2 linked regions of the Cricetulus griseus genome follow. The protein of the gene in region 1 interacts with the protein of each later gene in a biochemical or structural test. Links are inferred from orthologs where the notes say so. Each region holds a gene or a part of one and is shown on either strand. Other genes may lie near its edges.

The links. The genes of interacting proteins can lie anywhere in the genome.
Region 2: the proteins of Rps6ka3 (region 1) and Pea15 form a complex in vitro, tested with the Homo sapiens proteins (2 studies listed by BioGRID). The link is inferred for Cricetulus griseus from reciprocal best matches to the Homo sapiens genes RPS6KA3 and PEA15.

Annotation. Positions count from the first base shown.
Region 1 is NC_048604.1:94,271,328-94,276,610, reverse strand, and holds part of Rps6ka3 (ribosomal protein S6 kinase alpha-3), read right to left. Parts: intron 3,633-5,283; coding exon 3,543-3,632; intron 1,770-3,542; coding exon 1,611-1,769; intron 1-1,610. UniProt on the Homo sapiens protein: Serine/threonine-protein kinase that acts downstream of ERK (MAPK1/ERK2 and MAPK3/ERK1) signaling and mediates mitogenic and stress-induced activation of the transcription factors CREB1, ETV1/ER81 and NR4A1/NUR77, regulates translation through RPS6 and EIF4B phosphorylation, and mediates cellular proliferation, survival, and differentiation by modulating mTOR signaling and repressing pro-apoptotic function of BAD and DAPK1.
Region 2 is NC_048598.1:20,661,799-20,666,907, reverse strand, and holds the end of Pea15 (astrocytic phosphoprotein PEA-15), read right to left. Parts: intron 4,545-5,109; 5' UTR 4,543-4,544; coding exon 4,371-4,542; intron 3,112-4,370; coding exon 2,956-3,111; intron 2,794-2,955; coding exon 2,729-2,793; 3' UTR 1,585-2,728; downstream 1-1,584. UniProt on the Homo sapiens protein: Blocks Ras-mediated inhibition of integrin activation and modulates the ERK MAP kinase cascade. Inhibits RPS6KA3 activities by retaining it in the cytoplasm. Inhibits both TNFRSF6- and TNFRSF1A-mediated CASP8 activity and apoptosis.

The sequences.
Region 1 (5,283 bases):
CTGGCCTGGGCATAAGGAGGAGGAAGAAATAATATTAGTTACCTATTCCCTCTTGTTCAATTGGGTTAAGGAGAAATACAAATAGCAACTACAAATCTATCTCCAGATAATCCATTCATTTCATAACAGTTCTCCAGTCTCTACCATGTACCAGTGTATTATATAAAGAGCTGCACACACTGTAAGTAAGACTCATAAGATCCTGGCTTTTTCATGGTAGGCACTTGCAACATAGTGGAAAGGAATATAAGACAGGTTCAGATAAGCCATTTTAAAGAATGGGACAGTTTTGAGAGGAAATAATATCGGACCTAAGACCTAAATTGGACACTTTAAACAAGCCATGAAAACAGTGAGATGAAGCTATTCTAAAGTGAGGGAATAGCATATATCAAGATAGAAAAACACTGTCTCGAAAATCCAAAAATAAAAAAAGATAGGAAAACAATAAAGACACAAACTAGCATGTTAAGAGTAAAAACAAGGGCTGGAGAGATGGCTCAGAGATGGCACTGGCTGCTCTTCCAGAGGTCCTGAGTTCCATTCCCAGCAACCACATGGTGGTTTACAACCATCTGTAATAAGATCTGGCGCCCTCTTCTAGGGTGCAGGCATACATGAAGACAGAATACTGTATACATAATAGCATTTTTTTAAAGATTTTATTTATTTATTTATTTATTTATTTATTTATTTATTTATTTATTTATTATGTCTTCTGCCTCCATGTCAGCAGAGGGCACAAGATCTCATTCAAGGTGGTTGTGAGCCACCATGTGGTTGCTGGGAATTGAACTCAGGACCTTTGGAAGAACAGTCAGTGCTCTTAACCGCTGAGGCATCTCTCCAGCCCACATAATAGTAATTTTAAAAATTCAAATACAGCTGGGCAGTGGTGGTGCATCCTTTTAATCCCAGCACTCAGGAGGCAGAGGCAGGTGGATCTCTTTGAGTTCAAGGCCAGCCTGGTCTACAGAGCAAGTGCCAGGACAGGCTTCAAAGCCACAGAGAAACCCTGCCTCTAAAAACCAAAAAAAAATTCAAATCCAAACCCAAATAAAGTATCATTTATTCGATGTACAAATAAAGATGTCACATACACAAAATCATTCTCTTTTTAAAAAGAGTTTAGATTTAATTCGTATTTCAATCACCAAATTCCAAGTCTACATGCTAATCACCTTAGTTTTAGTTCCTAACATCCAGAACATTAATGTTATTTTCCTAATTAACTGATAAAGCATGGGAAAAAGAACACAGATGACTTAGGAAACTGTAAAGCTATCAGTTGTTCAACAAATATTGTCTTATACCGACTTCAAGGTACAGTTCTAGGCAAATTGACTAGCCACAGCCAGAAAGCTATAGATCTAACACCTTCCACTTGCTAGCTTTTAAGGGTAAAGAGCATAACAACTCAATATAGGCATGCTAAGATTTCAAAGTACTTCAGGATCAAAGAAAAATGTTTGTATAAAGGAAAAGCAGTAGGATAATGAAGCTCATTACAGTTTTCCATTACTTTTATAATTTTAATTTTAGCTTGAGTATTAAAAAAGGATATGCATATATAAGTATGTGTGTGCATAAATTATGTTCAAAAGACTTACCCCTTGTGCATGAAGATACTCAACAGTTTTAGTTATAGTAAACAGGACAGCACTGGCCTCTCGCTCTGAGAAAAACTTCTGTCTAAGAATTTTATCCAGCAATTCGCCTCCTTTCATAAGTTCTGTTACTACATACACATATTTTCCATCATCATACACCTATACAATTTAAATAAAAACATAAAAAATGATTTGAAGCTTTATGTATGTCTCTAAATTACTACTTAAACATACTAAAGATTAAGTGAATATATTAAAAGATACAAAAATTGCATGTTCAAGAAAAATTTACTTGTGAAAAACCAATACAGGATTTCTGGAGATTGTGTTAGAGTCATTTATAGTGAGTAGTTTCACATTTAATGAGACTTAGACAACATCATTTATCTAAGAGAAATCATTCTGAGAAAATAAGAGTTTTGACAATATCTAGACAGCCTCTGAGCCTATGTGAGCACCAACAATCGAGAAACCTGACTACTTGAGACAGGGATATTTTTGTCAAAATTCAGTTATAATAAAAACCACAGGAGATAGAGGTACCAGGGCATCCCAGGTAAAAGATACCTCACTTATCCTGGGAGTGGTAATGGACAGGAAAGGCTTCCTGGAAGGAAGCAGCCTGTAGCAGAGTCTTAGTTGTTGCAGTCAACCAGGTAAAAAAGGGAAATGATATTCCCACCGAAAGGTCGACACATTCAAAGAGCACTTGGAGAAAATGAAATACGCATGTTTTAAAAAGTCTACATCCCAAATAAAGCATGGCCAGAACACAGGATGTAGGGGAAGCTGTAGCCATGCCTACTTAGGGGCTGGCTACAGGTGTGCCTGACCATGCTTGTGAGGGCGTGGTCAGGGTGATGTAGAGTGAGACTTTCAGGGGACTGCATTTCTCTTTCAGCTTCACTTTTGTACTTGCTGGACAGACCGCTGCCATGCCGGCTGGCTAGGTCGCTCTGTAAGTAAGGCTTTTCCCTATTAAATACCCTTATATTTCCACTTGGTTCTGTATTGGTAATTTCCCACTATAACAGGATGTGTAAAAAACTATGAAAACTGCTACAGAGGAAGGCAGGTGGGAGGATAGCATAGGGAGCCTTCAGAGACACTCACAAATCTTGAATATTAATATTTATATGTTCAAATTCACATACTATAAGTAATAATGTTAAAATAGTTTTTAAAGAAAAAGCAGAAAATTAGATATTCTTAAAGTTTTATTAATTTTTAAGATTTATTTATATTTTTAATTGCATGTGTATGCATCTGTGTGCACATGTGTGTGTGTGCACATATGAATGTGAGTGTTAGTGCCTATGGAGGCTAGAATCATCATATCCCATGGAGCTGGAATCACGTACGGGTGGTTGGTTGTAAGCCACCTGATGGGTGCTGGGAATCAGACTTAGGTCCTGTGGGAAAGCAACAAGTACTCTTAACCACTGAGCTGTCCCTCTAATATTTTTCTCCAATCTATTTTTTTATATTTACTTTAAGTTAATATATAAAGTAATGGGTTACATTATGAGATTTTCATAAATGCTGTTTTTTTTTAAACTCAATCCTCCTCCTCCAGTATATTCCCTTCTCTGTCCTGCTGGCCCTTTCCTTCCTACTACAAGTCATATCCCCATCCTAAACAACATTCATCAACTCCCAAGGTCATCTTTCTGATTTCATGACCTATAATCCCCACTTTTGTATACCCCCCCCACACACACTAAAAAAAATCTAGGATCTTCATATGAGAAGGACTATGCAGTATTCATCATTCATAGCTCAAGATAATAATTTCTACTTTCATCCATTCGAATTTACTTTCTAAATTGACTATTCTGAAGTGGTCTTTCTCTACCACATAATATTTGAAAAATATCCTAAATATGAGTTTGACAACTGCTTCAAGTGATCTTTGTTAAAGAATCTACTTACATCCTTTAGAGTAATGATGTTTGGATGCTGTCCATAACGAAGAAGAATTTCAATCTCTTCTGTTGGGTCTCTCTTGCTTTTATCAATAATCTAAAATGCAGATATTTATCATAAATATTTTTGAACATGAACCATAAATGTTTAGTTATAGACCTTAGGTATCATCACATGTAAACACTGTACACACAAGCCATTTACCAATCAGTTGTTGTTAAGTACTTACCCAGATTATTTCATTGGAAAGGTAGTCTCCACATAGATGGCTATATAAGGCTAAGCATGTGACACATTCCTACTAGGTCACTTCAAGGTAAGTTTGTAGTAAATTTGGGAATTATTAAAATTCAAAAGCCTCAAGAAAAGTCATCAAGAACAAAGTTACCACATCATTTTTTTCATCCTTGAATTTCTCAAACATTTGAGAATTCAACTTCTAATCACCTATCAATACAGAAAACTAAGAGATAGATGTGTCTCCAATACCACCATTAGCATCTGCTTATTGCACAGAATTTCTTTCTTTTTTCAAGAAATGGTTTCTCTGTGTAGCCCTGGCTGTCCTGAAACTATCTCTGTAGACCAGGTTGGCCTCAAACTCAAGAGAACCACCTGCCTCTGTCTCCTAAGTGCTAGGATTAAAGGCGTGTGCTACCACCATCCAGCTAACTTTACTTCTTTTAATTATCTTAATGGACTATCACATTAGCTGTAAGCTACTTACAAAAATTAAGTAAACAAGCTTATTTCTGAATCTAAGCAGAAAATCTCCGTATAAAACCACCCTAGAATATTAGTTGACTACATTTACTATATAAAGCTCTTTAAAATGTTACCATAGATTTTAACTCTTTTATGTCAGTTGCTTATATTTTTTCTTAATTTTTTAGTATATTGAAGTACTATACAAACATATTTTTAAAATTTAATGTGTATAGGTGTTGTGCCTACATGTGTATATCTATCTGTGTACCACATACATGTCTGGTGACCACTGAGGCCAGAAAGGGTGTTGGAGTCTCCAGAATTGGAGTTACAGATGATTGTGAACTCCCACATGGGTTCCAGGACTCAAACTGGGTCTGCTGGAAGAGTATTAAGTGCTGCCTTTTAAAAAATAATTTTATTTTATATGTGTGTACATGCATGTGCAGGAGCCCTCAGAGATCAAAAGTGGATGTTGGACTACTGTGAGCAACTATGTGGATGCTGGGAAACCCAGGTTTTCTGCAAGAGCAGCATGTGCTCTTAACCCCTAAGCCATCTTTCCAGCCCTAAGTACTATATTTGTAAAAACAATTTGGGCTTTGTTTTATGAGACAGGGTTTCATGGACTCGAGACTGGCTTCAAACTCACTATTTAGCTAAGGATGAAATCCCCCTGACTTCTCCTGCCTCCACTCCCAAGTGCTGGGATGATAGGCATGTGCCACCATACTTTGCTTTAGATTTATTCAAAGAATAATCTGAAGCAAATTTTGTGGTTCAATTTTACTTTATCAGTTTTAGTTGTTAAATGTTTTAAAGACAAATTCTCATTTTGTAGCCCAGATCAGCCTCTAAGTTAACCATGTAGCTCAGGCTGGCCTCACAGTGAAAGCAATCTTTCTAAAATGGGCCCTCAGGACATGTTTGATGTGTTTATGGAGGCAAGACACATGCCTAAACTGCCTATCAAGTACACCATTCCCTTTTTCTCATTGCATGTTAGAAGTCTGAAATTTCTATTCTCTTTAGATTTCAA
Region 2 (5,109 bases), on another chromosome or scaffold:
ACTTCAGGAAGGGCACCATCGCTGCAGACCTTACCCTGGTTCTGCTATGACAGAAAGCACACTCAACCCCTGGCCTTTAGCTGCTTGATTCTTTAAGCCATTCAACTCCATACCAGCTCCTTTCCTACTGGAAGGATGAAGGGAAAACTTCCTGGGAATTGAGGGACAAGCCAGTAATTGGAAGATTTATTCTGGTGACTGGGGCTTAGACACCCAAGTATGAAAGTCCCTGTTGAATTCTTGCCCTAAATGCTTTTGCTGCTATTTCTCTCCCCCTGGTTTTCACAAGATTCAATCAGGAATCCTGCATCCTGGGACGTTTTGATTTGACCACTCTGGGCCAAGAAGAAGGGGGAAAGAGCAGAGGGTGGTATTCCTACACACTTCTTCCTCCTGACCCCTTCCTAGCAGCTCAGACCAGATGCCAGTTGTGTACTTCCTTCCTTCTTGAGGCAGGGAGTGAAGTAAGCGAGTAGTCGCACTGCTAGGGGGATTATGAGGTGGGCTTAAAACCATGCACTCTGGAATTTGTTGTATTTTTTCTCAGTAAAGCTTTTCCCCCCCGACTGCTGCTTGTGTGGTATGTGGTCCATTTATTTGTGACAGAGTACTTTTGTTCCTTCCAGTATAAATACTTGATTCTGCTAAAGTCTGGTCTGGGATACTTAGAGGTGGCGGGGCATGTTATTTGGGGGTGTTTTCCAGGCCCATGTTTTATACAGAAGTGAATTATAATAGGGAAGGCATGGCTACACATCCCCTCCCAGTCATTCAGAGGTTCCCCAACTCTTAATGACTCACAGAATTCTAGAATCAGTCAGGTACAGCACAGTCAGTCACCTTTATTCCAGGGTTAGAACAAGGCTATGCATGCTGCAGACAGAGGAGCATGGACTAGGGGCAACCTCATAGCAGCACAAAGGTAGCAGGGTAGGTCAGTCTATTAGGGCAGGTTAGTCTTTTTAAAAGTGTTTGTTTGTTTGTTTGTTTGTTTCCTTACAGAGAAATTGCTGAAAAGCACCCTCTCTCCTCTCGTGTTTCCTCCATAAGGAAAGCTCCATCTCACTCTTGTTCTCATGCACCATCCCAGATGGAAGGATGTTTTATACTGATTTCCTTTCTCCCAGTCGTACAAGTATCCCCTTTCTTAAAGGAAAAGCCAGACAGAATTAGGGAGTCTCAGGAAGGACCTTTAAGGCAAAACTGGAGTCTTGGAGGTGTGTGTGTTAAGGCAGGTGTCTGCAGCAGTGGCCAGGGGGATGGGCAGACTGGGCTGGGCTAGGAGTTGGGGGTACGCTAGCCAGTCTGGCTTCTTCCCTCTTCTGACAGCCTGCCCCCCCACTCCCCACCCCCCGTGGAGCTTTGCTCCCACACCCTAGAAGCTCCTACCTTCAAGCTTCCTCTAAAAAGTCTCTGAGCTTGCATGTAAATTTAATGTTTGCTGTGGTTGATTTCAATGCTGTTTGGACTATGTAACAATTTTGCTCTGCCACTCCCTTCACTGTGGCATTCCCTTCCCACTCCTGCTCTGGCCTAGACAATAAGTTAATGCTAAAAACCACAAAAAAAGGGCAGACATGGCAGTGCGGGTTTAATATACATATATGTAGAATATATATGTACACACAGTTAGCACGGTCAAGATGGGGAAGGGCATCTTGGGACAGGTAGGAGGCTGGGTTCACTCACTGTACTCTAGTGACTTGGCTTGGAGGCATCCACAAACCCAAATGAGAAAGGTTAACCAAGTCCCTTCCTGGATTGAACTGGGGTGGTAATAGGTGCAAAGGAAACCACTATGATTAACTTCTTTCTTGCTTGGGGTATTCTAAACTGGAGACTGGTGTGAAGGTTACCTACAATATCCATATTGGGACCCTGTAGGTATGGGCAGGTTGAGGTTAAAACCTATAGATCTCATTCCCCCAAACCTCCTTAGGCTCAGGGTCAGTATATTCAACAGTCTGTATTTAGGAATAAAGGAGTAGAAGTTGGGCCTGTCTCCACCTGCATCCCTATCTCAGGCTCAGTAGTACATGGTCCCAGCATAGTCTCTCCAGAGCAGAAGTTGGGGACATCAAATGCTGGCTTCTCCATGGGGTTTGATTTTGGGGGCCAGGAAAGGCTCTAGTGGTCTTCTCATTAAGATTTCTGGCTCATACCCATCCCAGGCCCATGACAAGGGCATAAAAGAGGGCCTATTGGCTCTTAGGACTTCAGCCTAAGGAATAACAAGAAACTGGATTCTAGCCAGTCCAGCATAGATCTACAAACCCTGAATTCTGGGTTTTCTTTCCCCTTCCAGGTAGAGGCTGAGTAGCCTCTTACCTTCCTTCCCCATTGGTTTTAACTCTCACCATCTCTCCCATACCTCATCTTAACCTTAGCTCCTCAGTGTAGGAAAATGCGGGAAGAGTGGAGGGGAGGGGAGAAGGAGGAATGTGCCCATTTCTATTTACATAGAAATAGCTTCCACTTCCCCCTATAGTGGGGAAATTAAGCCCCCCCCTCCCGACTCCAGTCCCCTCACGAGGAGGAGGAACTAGATGAGCTAGACAGACAGACAGCCAGAGCGTGTGAACACGCACACACACGCGCATAGTAAGGGGGTTAGGACCAAGTTAGTAAGTGGGTACGGGGCAGGGGGTTGCCCTAGCCCCTCCCATTGAGGATGGGGAAGGGAGTGGTCTGATGAAGATCCAACCTTCCTCCTCTTCCTCCCCTTTGCTCAAGCCTTCTTTGGTGGGGGAGCCAATTTGATGATTTCTTCCTCAGAGGGCTGCCGGATAATGTCTGAAAAAAGCAAAGATGGGGTGTGTCCAGGGCTGCTAGGCAGGCCCACTGAGCATCAGTCTCTACTCCCCAAATTCAGGACGATTCTCCACTCTTAAGAATATAGTCAGAGGGGAAAAGCAGAAATGTAGCTATGCCCAAGGCATGGCCAGTTACAGTTACCTTTGTACTTCTTGGCACTGGGGATACGGGTTAGCTTGGTGTCCAGCTCATCCTCCTCTGAGATCTTCAGCACACGGGTTCTGTAGTCAACCACCATAGTGAGTAGGTCAGGACGGCGGGATATCTCAAAGATGTGCTCAATGTAGGAGAGGTTGTCTGGAGGAAGGCAGCTTGAGTCAGAGCTAGGCTAGAGAGGGCAACTTTTACCCTGCCAAACTGGTATTCCTGAACCAACCCTGAGTTGTTTATGTTGGTTATCCAAGGGGACAACAGTGAAAGAAGGGGCTAAAGTTTGCGGCAGCCAAACAGTTTCAAGGACTGATCCTAGGAAGGACAGGAGGCGATGAAATTTTCTGGGGCATAAATGGAAAATAAAGACTTTGGGCTGGATATCAAGTCCATCCTCCGAAGAAGGGACAATAGAAAAGCTGCCTTCAAAATTACCCCACATTGACCCTGTCCTTTTTCTACTTTCCTTCCACATGAGTATGAGGAAGAATTCCCAGACACCACACGTGCAACAGGACGAGATTATAGCCAAATCAAAGAGGTTCTGAGCCCAGTAAGAAAAGTGACGTACTAAGGGAGCGAAAGCTCTGACACAATCAGGGTGGTTTGAGAAGATTATATGTGCCATCAGACCATAAGCCCCCTGCCCCAGTGGTGGCAATAGTCTGAGTTGTGGTAGATCCTCCTTCAGTTCTCCTCATACTGTCTGCTGCACTATAGCTAGAAGAGTTCATACAAAGTAACTCTGAGGTTACTTTACTTTTCACACACATGTAACTCAAGATTGACATTCTCAGCTACCTGTAATTAGACCCAGTCCTTTTAGTCCTGCTAAGCTACACTGCATTCCTTTGCTTAAACAGGTCCTCTGGATTCTACCTTAGGAATCCCACTTGCCTTTGGAGTCTAACATCATCATGGTGTGTGAGTGTGGGTATGAGCATGAAGGTTCGAGGACAACTTTGAGGAGTTGGTTTGCCTCTTTCACTTTGAGCCCTGGGCCCTCATTAGGTATGCATGGCAAGTACTTTAACCTGCTACTCTGCCAGCAGTTGGGACTGTCTTACACACCATTTCACCCTGCAAGCCCCAGCTGCGAGTTACTGTTCTAATCCAGTGTCTCCCTCCCTCTGAAAGTAGGTAAGAAAACATTAGAATCATGGTTTTAAGTTTTACCACTTTAAATTGTTTTCATGTCCTGTTATATACAGTGGTAGCACAAGGGTATTGAAAACCCTTTTATACTAATAAAAGCCATACATGAAGCATGTCTAATGACTACTGTCTTGGAAACCCCGTAGTCTCTCAGAGTTTATCATTTACCCTGCCCTGTCATCAGGTGTCACTTTGTGTAAGAGGGTTGTGTACATTTCTGTTTGCTGAATGAACAGAGCCCCCTCCACAACCTTTGTCCAGCTTGTTGTGGCTCTCCAGGAAGCTAAACCAGGCACTGCCTGTAGTGATCTCCTCACTCTTCTCGCTGGGGATGTCCTCCTTGCAGGCTGACTTGAGCTGCTCCAGATCTTCAAGGGTAATGTTGTTGGTCAGGTCCTGAAGGAGAGTCCCGTACTCGGCCATGACTGGAGGGGAGAGTAATAAAGGGAGAGTAGTAAGCTGAGCTTAGTGTGTGGGTCTGGTTCACTTACTGCCCAGACTTATCTGCGCCTTACCCCCATGCTCAACAACACACACAGGAGCGCACACTTTGTCCTGCTAGGGTGGTGTGTACCTAAAATGTGGAGGTTTAGGAGAGAGGGCAGGTCTGGAGGGAGCCAAGGAAAACCCTGACACACAAGAAGAAACTCAGGAAAGCTAGGAGCCACCATGGAATGACAAGTCATTACCCCCCCCCCCACCCCATACACACAATCTTTCTTTTTCCCTCCCTTAACAGTAACCCTGGCAACAGCTCCCCTGACTGAGGAGGCGGTTACCATGGCAACATTCTTCAGACTTTCTTACAGTCTCCAAGTCCCCCTCCCCAATTGCCCCACCCACCTACAACTCCTCCCCCTGTCACAGGCTTGGCTTAGCAGTGAGAAGCTAAAAAGGTTTGGTTGAAGCCCCTGTATTCTCTCTTCCATTCTTCACCAGAAGCAAAGGGGTCCCTCATTTCATCTTCCCACCACCCCATTAATGACTCAT